3 linked regions of the Oryzias latipes genome follow. The protein of the gene in region 3 purifies or fractionates together with the protein of the main gene of each other region. This does not show direct contact. Links are inferred from orthologs where the notes say so. Each region holds a gene or a part of one and is shown on either strand. Other genes may lie near its edges.

Region 1 (4,394 bases), on a different chromosome or scaffold from region 3:
GTGGTTCAAATTGGTCTGTGTCCATTATACAATCATTCGTAGAGTACATTTCGTCAATTAAATAAGATGCAACAACATGAGCAGATTTCATCCTTAAGATCTGATTCCTTCCCAAGTGACAGTATGAGAACTAACATGTTTTTATATGATGGTCACCATACAGAAAAAAAGAAGAATTCAATCCTTGTCTGCAATTATATATACCTATTTTAATATTTTAGGTATATATTCTTGCTTTATTAAAGTAAAAAGGCACACTTTTTTGTTGTGGTCCTGAAGGTATTTTGCAAACAATTATTTTAATGGGAAAAAATTGTGTAGCTTTGGCAGGTGTCCATTTAGTATTTTCATCAGAGCTGCGTTAGAAAAGATTCCAGTTAAATAAAAATAAAAAAAACAGTAGAAGTAAAAGTAATAGTTTGTGTAGATATGTTTAACAGCTCGAGGCCAAATGGGTTACAAAAAACCCCAGTTTTTAGTAATTTCCTGGAACAAAAACCCTTCATTCACTCTAGGATTAAATAATTTCTTTATTTATGTCAATTCTGGCCTCCACTACAAGGTCTGCTCGGTCACATCCATTAGAAACACTTGTCAAAAGAAGGTTAACATGGAAAGAAAAAAAAATTCTATTTCATGTCAGTAAAAGCTCTGCTGGATATATGGGGCCACACTGGTTTTCAATGAGGAAACAAGAGGAGATCTGTGAGATTTGTAACATTACATGTATGTAACTGACTGTGCATGTCATATAAGGCTTGGGTAAGCAGCAGTCACGACCACCAGGGTACAATTGAAAACATGCCTTCCGATAGCTTTTGTCAAACCAAGCTTGGGCACAAAGCAGCTGCATAAAAGCTAGCGAGGGCTAGCGTGTTGTTTTAAACAATGTCGCCTTTTCTGCGGCAGATGAACCTAACATAGGCATTGTCAAAATTAGTCAAACTGAAAGTAGGCTGATGCCTACGTCAAACAATACAGTACAAAGGCAAAGGCATCAACTACTACTAGCGAGACTTAAAGGGGCTCGCAAAGCAAACAGGTTACCACTGGCTGTAGTTAGTTGGCAACTCACAGCAACTGGAGGCTGGGGTTAGATGCTAAACATAATGTCTCATGATGTTAATACCGACTTTAGGAAGATGGCGCTAAATATGTATTAATCATCATCAAAGCACCAATACTTATCGGTGTCCAACACACAAAGGTTCGGACTGTTCAATCCAGCGGAACTGTTTCGAGGAACTAACGATGCTTCACAAAAAGTGAATGATACGTTACACAACATACAAGGCTTTGGTTTACAGTCTACCTTTAACAATTGATGTCGGCTGTACACAACTGCCGATTGGCCGACTTGTGCAATAAATAAACGCGACAATAAGCCCATATATATATTTTTTGCCCTCCGAAGTCGGCGTTATGCAAAATATAATGAACCGTCCCGTTTTATGTTCCGTTCCGTTGAACAGTCTGAGTCATGAAAGCCAAGGCGGCGACAACCTCCCCCAACATCAGACTGAAGGATAATGTTGGCTCAGACTCTCATTTGAAAAGGCGAATTCTGGGTAAATATAGCCAACACAAACACAATGCAAGTGAGGGTTTTATCTTACCTTCCGGCCCTATGGACAGCGAATTATCCTCTTCATGTCCAAAAACACTGGGGAATAAAAACGTCGCACTTTTATCACACAGCTAGCTAGCAAGCTAACAAGGCTAGCTAGCTTCTCTCCAATGAAACAACACAGCCTTTCTCAAAAATGCACAGCGCATCTATAGCATTGTATTCCAGCGTTGCAATGTAATTCCAAACTTTACCCATTTGACGGGAAAGCAGCTGATGTAAATCCAACAGAAAACCGCTTCACTGGCAGGCGCATTTGTTGGGATCACTTTCCTTTCTCCAATGACAGCTGTCGTCGCACGAGTTCAGGTTATATAGCTAGTTGGCGTTAGCCACCCAAGTCTATGGCCAGCAATTTTTTTTTATCATTAACACAGACACACAAAGAAACCCCGAAATACACGCCACTGCAAGAGCCCCGGGAATAAAGCAATGTAACACAATCCTTTTTAAAGGTATAGCGTTGTGCAAAGCAAATGTTGGATGCCGACTGCTGGGTTGGCAACAACTGGTTCTATTTTCTTCAGCTGCGACAAGCTGCGGGACCAAGCGGCTAGTTAGAAGACTCTCGTAACCACTCTGCCACGCAGTAACAACTGGCTCCAAAAATATGGGAAAGCAAACACTAGTTTGCAAAAAACAACATTATGCCTGCCACGCGGAGCAAAACCCCAAATTCCCACGATTTATGACAAAATTAAGGGAAAGATGACGCCTCGGTGTAGTCTAAAAACGATGGCCATATCTAATGATAAGTGGCATCGAACCACATCCCCCTCCAGGCTCCTAACAATCTAGATCCACCACCTACTGACAGAACTTGAGCAAACAAATACCTAGTAATCCTCGTGACTCCTCAGGACGGTGCCACTTCAAAAACCCGTCAGATTTTAAACACGTTGATAGCACGACATGCAAGAAAACAGAGCGCAAACCGTTTTACATTCTGTTCAAAATACTCTCTGACCCTGCGGAGGGATACCAGCATTTAGTAAATAAAATAATGGCCAGGAAGTAGCCAAAAGACGGAAACTGGATTCTAGTCTTTTCGGGGGTGGGAGTGTCAACAGTTCAGTTTCCAGCCCCTGCAAACCTTCTCTAGCGACAAAGATCCTGCCGTCGTCGGATTTCTACAATTATAAATGACTAACTCTGGAATAGATGTTATATTTCATCCGCAACGGCTTTGGTAGTTTAGAAAAATAGCCGTAACTGCCCCCTCTCTGCCACCAAATTAAAGCGTCCCCTTTTAGACTCTCTCTCTCTCTGTCTCTCTCTCTCTCTCTCTCTGTGTCTCGCTCTCTCTCTCTCTCTCTCTCTCTCTCTCTCTCTCTCACACGCACGTACGCACGGGCGAAGACGCACACACAAATGCATACACACACGCACATACACAGCAGGCATGGCATTATTCATCGCCTATCAGGCAGACATACTGTACATGCAAGGGTTAACTTTGAGAAGAGTCCCCAGAGGTCGGCTTTCAGCGGCTGGATGGAACATCGTTATCCGTGGACTCAGCGTGCTTTTCATGCCCGCAACGATCCACCGCCTGACCGGCTTCCTTAGATAAGACACGACGAGTATCTCCAGGTGAAGCCATGAGGTAAAAGAAATGGACATAAACATAACCCCGTCCCTTCAAACTGTGCCCGGTTACCGCTTTACCAAACCGTGAGCTCCCCCTGGTGGCTGAGACCATACATTACTATTTTTGGTTGTATAATTTAAATGCCTCAAAGCATCAGGACAACAAATTGCAAAAAAAACTTTATTGACAAAAACATTGTACACTGTTGTTAGATTATTATATTTTTAAATTTGACTTTTAAATTCCAACCACTCCTGAGGAAGGAACAGCTTTCTGCCTCATCTTTGTAGTGGGATTTTTTAAACGCTTGCAGAATATACACAAAATACACCTTCTCAAGCTTTTGAAAATGTAAACTAAACACTGACTAAATCGAAAACTTGTATATGTGTATAAAAACAAATATTTTTGTAATGTCACTAATGGTTTATTGAATATTATGATGCTTAAAAAGGGGAAAGACATTTTAAGTGTACTTTACTTGTAATATCGGTGACATCAGTAATTTAGTCTGATCCAAAAGTTCTCAGAAGCTTATCAGCACCACTGATTGTTGAAGAATTCACCTGTCTTTTTTTGCATCAGATCTCAAAGGTCAGTAGGGTTTCTGACATCAACTGAGTTGGAGACATTGCACAATACCAGTGTCCTTTATTAAGTTTTGACCTTTCCGCTGGTGTGCATTTACACCACTAACCAGTATTGACCCAATTACTCTAAAAGGCTTGAGGCCGATGGTCAGAGTTGTAACATTCACACTCGTGCACATGACAAGCAAATGATGAGGCTAAATGGATAGTAAATTAAAGATGAGATTTTTAAATAATCATTTGAATAGTGTGAATGTTTTTGTAACCAAAGTAATTATGTGTTACAGAAGCTGAATGCAAATTAGAATAAATATTTACAGAGTTTTTTTTAATTACACGTTTAATCATATTAAAATGATTGGAAAAGGCTTCTTAAGTAGATATCTAGTTGTCAAACATTCAGTTAGTTTCAGACACAATTTATGTTCTTTTTACTTAAAAAGAAAAAGAAAAAACTTATTTTTTTACAGTATTTTATTAAATTTTTAAATAACAAAGCAGTCAGCACAGGGTAAACTCAATCAGTTACACAGGTTGTAGTAATGAGAAAGATTTTGAGTGACATGGACCTCACTTACCACCATAT
Region 2 (3,652 bases), on a different chromosome or scaffold from region 3:
AAGACAAGCAATAGCACCATCGCATCACGCTCAGACAGTTTCACCTTCATTCATTTCACTCTTTACTGTTTCTATCCTCCAGTCTAAACTCTCCCTGAATCAATGAAGTGGATTCTTCAATGATTCTTCCTTTTCCCTTCAAATTAAAGCTCATCTACTTTTAAAACAATGCGCAAAAGGATTTTCTTTTAACTAAAGGGAAGCCTAAAAAAGCTGCACATTCGGTTGTTAATGAAATTTGAAAGAAATGAGTATTTTAAGCTAAAGTTGATTTTTTGTGTCACCTTGAAGAGTGGAGCGCTGTGGGCTTTCCTCAGAGACTCCTCCAGACTGAAGTTGAACAACACCTCTGCCTCAGCATCCTTCAGAATAAAAGCCTGTTCACCTGAAAGAGACATTTACAAAGTCAGTTCAGCTGAACACAACTTCCTCCTCCTTTAATGGAAAACCAAAACCCAGGCCATCTTAAGGAGCAACACAAAGAAATCAAAACAAGTAGGAAATTAGTGAAAATGATCGTAATTTAATATTATCCACATGATTTAAGATTTTAATATCTTCAAAAGATATTTTTCATAAGCTAGATGACTAACAGAATGTAATAAAGATTTAATGACGGCAATACATGTCATTTAGTCGAAGAAAATAAAAGATCAAATAACGCATCAAGGTTCTTTTTTGTCTAACAAAACGCTTATATGGGTTGTTTACATGCTATTAGACTGCAGATACTATTCTACAACTTAATTTTATGTCAGAAGGAAAAGGTTTCAATGCTGAAGCATAAAGATTTTTAATATTTACTGAAAAGGTTTTGGACATACTTTTTAATATAATAGCTTTTTGTGTCATTTGAGGTCATCCTTTCATTTGTTGCGTTTTTGCCGCCCAGTCTGGCGTTTATTGCACTCAGGAGCGTGTTCGTGAAGCAGAACTGCAGAGATTCATGCATTCCTCACATCGAATAAAAATGTATAATAAACTAGCAAAAATAATTTAGGGGGGAGAATTCATACGGCTTTTACTTCTTCTCACTCCCTTTAGGAAATTTCTTGCTTTGTTTTCCATATTGTCCTATTTTTTCACTAAAAGTAAAATACGATCCCATCACTAGGAAGTCTTTGCACCCATCACAGTCAGTAGTTCTCAAAGGACGTTGCTTCAGGTTTTGCTCGAATTCAGGCTTAAAAATAAAATCCCACATAACGCATACTTTTTTTTTATCCTTGAGGTGGGAGATATTTCAATTCATATTGATTAGATGGCTTTCTGAACTGGATGCGATGCACCTACCTACAAACTTCTGGCTTCTCCAGCTCTCCTCCAACCACTCGGGGCTCACTATGTGTTTGACCACCGACATGGCAGTGAGGAACTTGACGGTGCGGGTCACCTTCACCGCCACCAGGTGAGTGGCTTTCAGGCTATTTTCAGCCAATTCCCCGCCGAGAGCGTGAAGCCTCTGCACAACATTGAACAAAAACGCGACACATAAGAAAATAAATCACTCCGTACGGAAAAACGTCTAGATGGGAGGAAGTTGATCTAACCTTTGTGAGCTGCTGCACCTGTGGGGGCTCAAAGCCGGTGAAAATAACATGTGGAGTAGATTCTGGAGGGAGTTTCTTACTGGGGGAATGTATTTCCTCCAACCTGTACACAATCACAGAATGGAAGGGTGAAGTATTGAAACACTGAGTAGCTCAAAGTGCTTCAATGGAAATAATAATAAAACAAATTGATGAAAAGTCAGAGTCCTTTATTATCCAGACAGTTCCCAGGATGGACGCCGTTCTGTCTGAGACAGTTTTAGATTACTACCTAATCCTAAAACCATTAAATTGTGGTGCTAGAGAGGCCTACCTCCTCCTTCCCCATTTTTATACTTCAGTGGAAGCTCATTTGCAGCGCTGACATCAACTGACACAGGACTGGGGTCATCAGAGCTCACAGCTCAAAACTAAACTCAGTCAAGTCTATAAGGTTTCTACAAAATTCTGGTGCAAGAAAACATCTGGACGAGTCGCATCCCACCTCTACTTCGAAGTAGGGCTGGGTTGATAAAGGGATTAATCAATCTGAATCGATCCAAGCTTTATAGATCAATAATCGATCCATAAAAGCAGAGATGACCTAACACAAAACAGCCGTAAGGCGAAAGTCTGCTAGCTTGATGCTAAGGTATAATGGAAAATCCCATAGGACGGCTAATGCTAGCGCTCGTTTGACCTAAACCTTGCTGTCTAATAAACAGCTTCACATATTTATTGGGATTAATTTTTCCAATTTTTTTTAAGGAAACATTTTTAAAGTAACCATTTGTGGTCTAAAGCCAATTTTTTTCTCATATCTTCTAGAATAAAGTGTAATGCTGTAGCGTCAGCTCCACCTAGAGACCAAAAAGAAATGCCCTCAGTAGAGGCAAAACATAAGGATCTGGGGCCTCATTTATAAAACTTTGCGTAGGATTTGCGTCAGAAGTGGCGTACGGATAAAACATAGGACGTGCGTACGCACAGAAATATTCAGATTTATAAAACCGTGCGCACGCACATCCTACGCATCTTTCCCTTAATAAATCACAACCAATTCTAAATGCAGCGCAGCTTTTGCGGCCTCATGACACGCCTATAGTTCCCCATAAATAGTCCGTGAAACGCCCACGAATGAATATTCATTGATTGCAAAACCATGCCAAACACGGAGAGAAAATCAAAAAAACGTAACTTCACTCAATGTGAAGTAGAAGTTATTGTTGGCGAGGTGGAAAAGAGGAGAAAAGTGTTTGTTTGGAGGGCACAGTGTGGGCATTACTAATGCCAAAAAGCCACGTGAGTGGCAAACTGTGGCAGACGCCGTAAATGCTGTAGCCTCACAACCTCGGACCGTGGCCGGTAGTGCTCCTCTGTAACGCCGGGCCCAAAAGCCCACAGAGGTCCAAGAGGACGGCTCGAGGAAGTCGGAACCGGCTCATAAGCCACTCATAAGCAAATCTTCTTGCTGTCTAAAGATGCGTTCTCTCTGAATTCTTCCATTTGCCACATCTTCTAAGAGCGCAAGATCAGCCATTGTGCGTCATTACGCATTGTGATGGGGCATTTTATTTCCCTCCATTTAATTACATCTGACAAGCTGCAGAAGTCGGTAATAATCGACGTGGAAATGGGAAATTGTTCAGCGCAAATGTAATTTCTTGTTGCTTTCTGAATGGTTGAGACATACGCCATACATTGTTTCATCAAAAATAAAACAAACTAAAGGCATATGCATGAATACCATAATTCCGTAACTGATGAAGAAGGTTTTACTATGAAAGCAACTTTCCCCAGTGGACAATTAGTACGTCTGTCCGTCCGTCCGCACGCCCGCACCTATCTGCTCCGCCAGACGGACACACTGACGGGAATGTCAGTTTTGTACATTATTTCGTTCTGTTAACTATTATTTATGAGGATGAATTGCACTACATGCCAATATTGTAGAACATATTTCAATTTTCTTTCTGCAAATAAGTGTTCATTTGAATTTCTGTTGTAATTTTCGTTTGATTGTTTTTGTTTGTTTCACTGCTGATCGATCAAACGGGTGTTGGTGTAGGCTGTTAATTGTAAGACTTGCTTTGTGAAGTCTTCATGTTATTTCTGAGAGGCAG
Region 3 (3,652 bases):
TTAGATTTCTGAGACAAAGTGGTCTCATTTTGACTTTCTGCTTTTGTTGCTCCTGGGTTGGTTTGGTGAGAAGCTAGGATAGCACCAACTGGAGTTGTGGATACTGCATTAGTAGCTACCTGAACCTGTCCAGCAAGCGTTCTATTGGGCTGAGAGGGAGCTATATTAACCCCTGATGGCTGTGTGGAATTTAGGGCAGGAGAAAGTTGGATGCTTCCAGTAGGCATTTGGATAGACCCTACCATGGTGACTGACTGAGATACTACTGAGTTATTAGGAGCCACAGAGGAGCCAGGAACCTGGAATATTGGATTAATAAATACTGGGGTTGTGGTGATAAACTGAGGTGGTCGAGGGCCAGGACTCTGCTGTCGGATATCCTGAGATCTTGAGTTTTTGTTGGCAGCAGCCATCATGGTGGACACCATCGATGTGGGGGTAGAAGTTATAGGATTGGAGGTGACAAACACTGTAATCTGGTTGGAGGAAATGGTGGTTGAAGACGCAGGGATCTGTATGACAGAATGAACGCTAGACATGGGTTTGGGACTTGGGCTCGGTTTAAGAGCAGAGCTGGGCGGGTTTAGAGCAGTGCTTGAGTTGGAACTAGCATTTATAGCTGAGGCAGAACTGTTATGACTGGAAGTGACTGTACAAGGGCTTGCACCTGTGGTTGCATTAGTGTTTGTACTAACTGAGTTGCAATGGGAAGATGTGGTATTTACATTTGAATCAGGATTAACAAGACTAGAGTTAGCAGTTTGGGTAAAGCTAAGAATAGTATTGGTATTTACATTATTAGCAGAGTGAGAGCTGGGAACTGATGTAAGTTGCTGCAGGTTTGGATTACAAGTGGGGACTTGAACAAGAGGTTTGGGATTCTGTTCAGTTTCATTTGCAGCGGTGGTAGTAGCAACATTCATTGACCTTTCTGTGTTCTGAGAATTACTGTGAAGTGATGCATCTGACTCCAAAGTAGATTTGGGACTGTGTTTTCCACCAGCAGGAGTATTACTCTTTGAGGGGCGAAGAGGCTTGTTTGACATAGCCGTGTTATCCAGTAACTGGTTGAGGGAAGTTGGAGCTGTTCTGAAAGATGATGAAATATCAGGGTTATGTGTGGGTACCGGTTGTGTCAATGGCCTTTCAACACTACCAGTCTGCCCCTCCAAGTCAGCTTTGGGCTGTCGTGGTGCATGAACATTTGTCATTCTTGAGGCTGATAAGTCTCTTAAAGACTGAGACTGGGGCTGGGGTGTGTGTTGCTGTTCTGTAGTAGTTGTCCCCTGATTTTCCCTGACTCCATCAACAGGATTTCCATGAGGACCTTGCAAGGCACTCTGCATCTGTTGTGCCTCCATACTGCCACTCACTTGTGACATCATAGATACTGGACTTGGAGGTATAGAAGAAGGGCTTAAAATCATTGCTTGCCCTTGAGGACTGACAAGTTGCTGCTGGTGGGGAGGGCATGCAATGCTCATTTTTGCCCCCTTCTGTCTTCCTGGACTTGGTGTGGCTGATTTGCGACTAGAGGCTGGACTTGACCGCCGACTATTGCTAGGACTTGCCCTCTTACTTTGCCCTCCAGACACTTTTTCCTGTTTAGTACCTGAAACTCCTACACCAGAGGACAAAGACTGCTGATTATTAGTGTTATTTCCACCAGAGCTGCCGTTGCCGTTGTTTCCTGTTAAAGTCAAGGTGGGTGGAGCCTGTCCAATGGCTTTGAGAGTTGTTGGGTTCAGCCCTTGCTGATCAAATCCCCTGTTAAGGTTTGGCTGCCTTGGAGGCAGAGGAATGTTAATTTTTGGAGGAAACAGTCCAGCAATTGAAGCATTTAGTCTCTCAGGTGAAAGATTAATTTCAGAAGGTTCAGTGCTCGGTGGACGGTTTGATGGAGTGAGGGGATGGTGGTAAGGTCTGGGGCTGGCTCTGTTCGGAGTTTTAGGCCTTGAACTCTGTGAAGTTGTAGGAACATTGGGGAAATGATGGCCAGGCATGTGCCCTGCTTGTTGAGGCAGCGTGGGTAGTTGCTGTTGGGGACTGGATCCTGTGTGTTGAGGCATTTGTGTTGAACCAGGCCCTTGTTTTATCATGTGTGTGTTCGAGACCTGGCTGGTTGGAATTTGTTGGGACCCATTTCCTGGCTGTAAACCAATTTCTGAGCCCCCTTGTCTGTCTTGTTTTGAGTGGGCACCTACAGAAGCCTCCTCAGATCCAGAGCTTTGAGCCCCCGGCCCTAAATCAGGGTGGGACATTCTTCGTGCAGCCCCTGCAAGCTAGAAATTTAAGGAAATATAATCTGCGTTAAAATTTCCTCCAAGAGAATCAGAGGATGGGATGGGAATATGAAAATGATGGTACTACTAAAAATCACCCCTTACCTGTGGGTTTACCATCAGAGGCATCCCTCTGGGTTTATCAGGGGATGGTGGTACACTGCCATGACCTTGCAGGCTTATCATTACAGGCATGCTGCTTTGCTGTGAACTGGGATGCCTTTGAATGTCTGCAGGATTGCCCATTCCTCGAGGAGGAAGCTGTCCTCCAGTGGAGATGGGCATGCGATTTTTTGATTGCTCCTGTTGCATTTTTATCAGCATCATCTGCTGCTGTTGCTTGATAAGAAATTAAGATTAAAGTTTAGTCGGGTGGTTAAAGTGCGTCCTGAATTAAAAGAAACAATCTAGGATAAAATACCAAATCAAAAGTCTACCTGCTGTTGTAGGTGTGGCTGCTGAGATTGCTGCTGCTGCTGCAGCTGATGCGGGTGCATCTGGGGTTGACCTTGACCTGATGCTTGTGGCCCTGTCATCATCTGTGATCCTTGAGCATTCTGGAGCCCCTGCATCTGCATCATCGGCTGCTGTTGCTGCAATTGTTGTTGCTGTATTTGCTGCTGCTGCTGTTGTTGTTGTTGTTGCTGCTGCTGTTGTTGTTGTTGCTGTTGCATTTGCTGCTGTTGTTGTTGCAATTGCTGCTGTTGTTGTGCAATTTGATGCTGTATTTGCATGTGCTGCATCTGTTGTTGTTGTTGTTGTTGTTGCTGCTGCTGTTGTTGTTGTATAAACTGCATGGGGGCTTGTTGCAGTACCCTCTGCTCTCCAGGTTGACCAGGGAACCCTTGGAAGTATAAAACAGATCAGTGATATAAATTATGATAAATGTACAATTTTTAGAACAAAAGAGCATTTGCATTTTAGTATATTGGTTGTTTTAACAACAAAACAAGGAAATGAACTAAGTTTAGTGTTTTGTTAGTTTGACTACCTGGAGGTCTATTAGCAAAATCAGGAAGCTTCTGGCCAGCGTTGTCCAAACCCAAACCTTGGTCCACACCCAGATTAGGCAATTCAGAATCTTCCATACCAGCAGCAGCATCAAGACCTCTATAAGGATAAAATAAAAGTTTATTTGGTTAAATAAAGAATATGCTGTTGACACAGGACCTGATGAAAGAAGAAAACATGTTTTACCCAAGCCCCTCTACTTGTTGTTGTCCATCCCCCTCTTTGGGTTTTTTCTTGCGTGGTGGTTTCTTCTTTTTAGGTTTAGCTGGATTTCCTCCACCAGCACCTTGCTTTCCTCCTGGTCCAAACTGGCTGGCAGATATGTCACTTTGCAGCAGGTTGACCAGCAGTGGGCTAGT

The links.
Region 1: the proteins of ncoa6 (region 3) and histone-lysine N-methyltransferase 2C purify together in Homo sapiens (co-immunoprecipitation; 7 studies listed by BioGRID and IntAct, with this or other methods). This does not show direct contact. The link is inferred for Oryzias latipes from reciprocal best matches to the Homo sapiens genes NCOA6 and KMT2C.
Region 2: the proteins of ncoa6 (region 3) and paxip1 purify together in Homo sapiens (co-immunoprecipitation; 6 studies listed by BioGRID and IntAct, with this or other methods). This does not show direct contact. The link is inferred for Oryzias latipes from reciprocal best matches to the Homo sapiens genes NCOA6 and PAXIP1.

The regions. Positions count from the first base shown.
Region 1 is NC_019875.2:25,341,770-25,346,163, reverse strand, and holds the start of histone-lysine N-methyltransferase 2C, read right to left. Parts: upstream 2,883-4,394; 5' UTR 2,464-2,882; exon of another isoform or gene 1,822-2,463; intron 1,664-1,821; 5' UTR 1,617-1,663; intron 1-1,616. UniProt on the Homo sapiens protein: Histone methyltransferase that catalyzes methyl group transfer from S-adenosyl-L-methionine to the epsilon-amino group of 'Lys-4' of histone H3 (H3K4).
Region 2 is NC_019875.2:13,211,916-13,215,567, forward strand, and holds part of paxip1 (PAX-interacting protein 1), read right to left. Parts: intron 1,654-3,652; coding exon 1,551-1,653; intron 1,463-1,550; coding exon 1,294-1,462; intron 386-1,293; coding exon 285-385; intron 1-284.
Region 3 is NC_019865.2:14,781,433-14,785,084, reverse strand, and holds part of ncoa6 (nuclear receptor coactivator 6), read right to left. Parts: coding exon 3,480-3,652; intron 3,393-3,479; coding exon 3,274-3,392; intron 3,127-3,273; coding exon 2,720-3,126; intron 2,622-2,719; coding exon 2,388-2,621; intron 2,283-2,387; coding exon 1-2,282. UniProt on the Homo sapiens protein: Nuclear receptor coactivator that directly binds nuclear receptors and stimulates the transcriptional activities in a hormone-dependent fashion. Coactivates expression in an agonist- and AF2-dependent manner.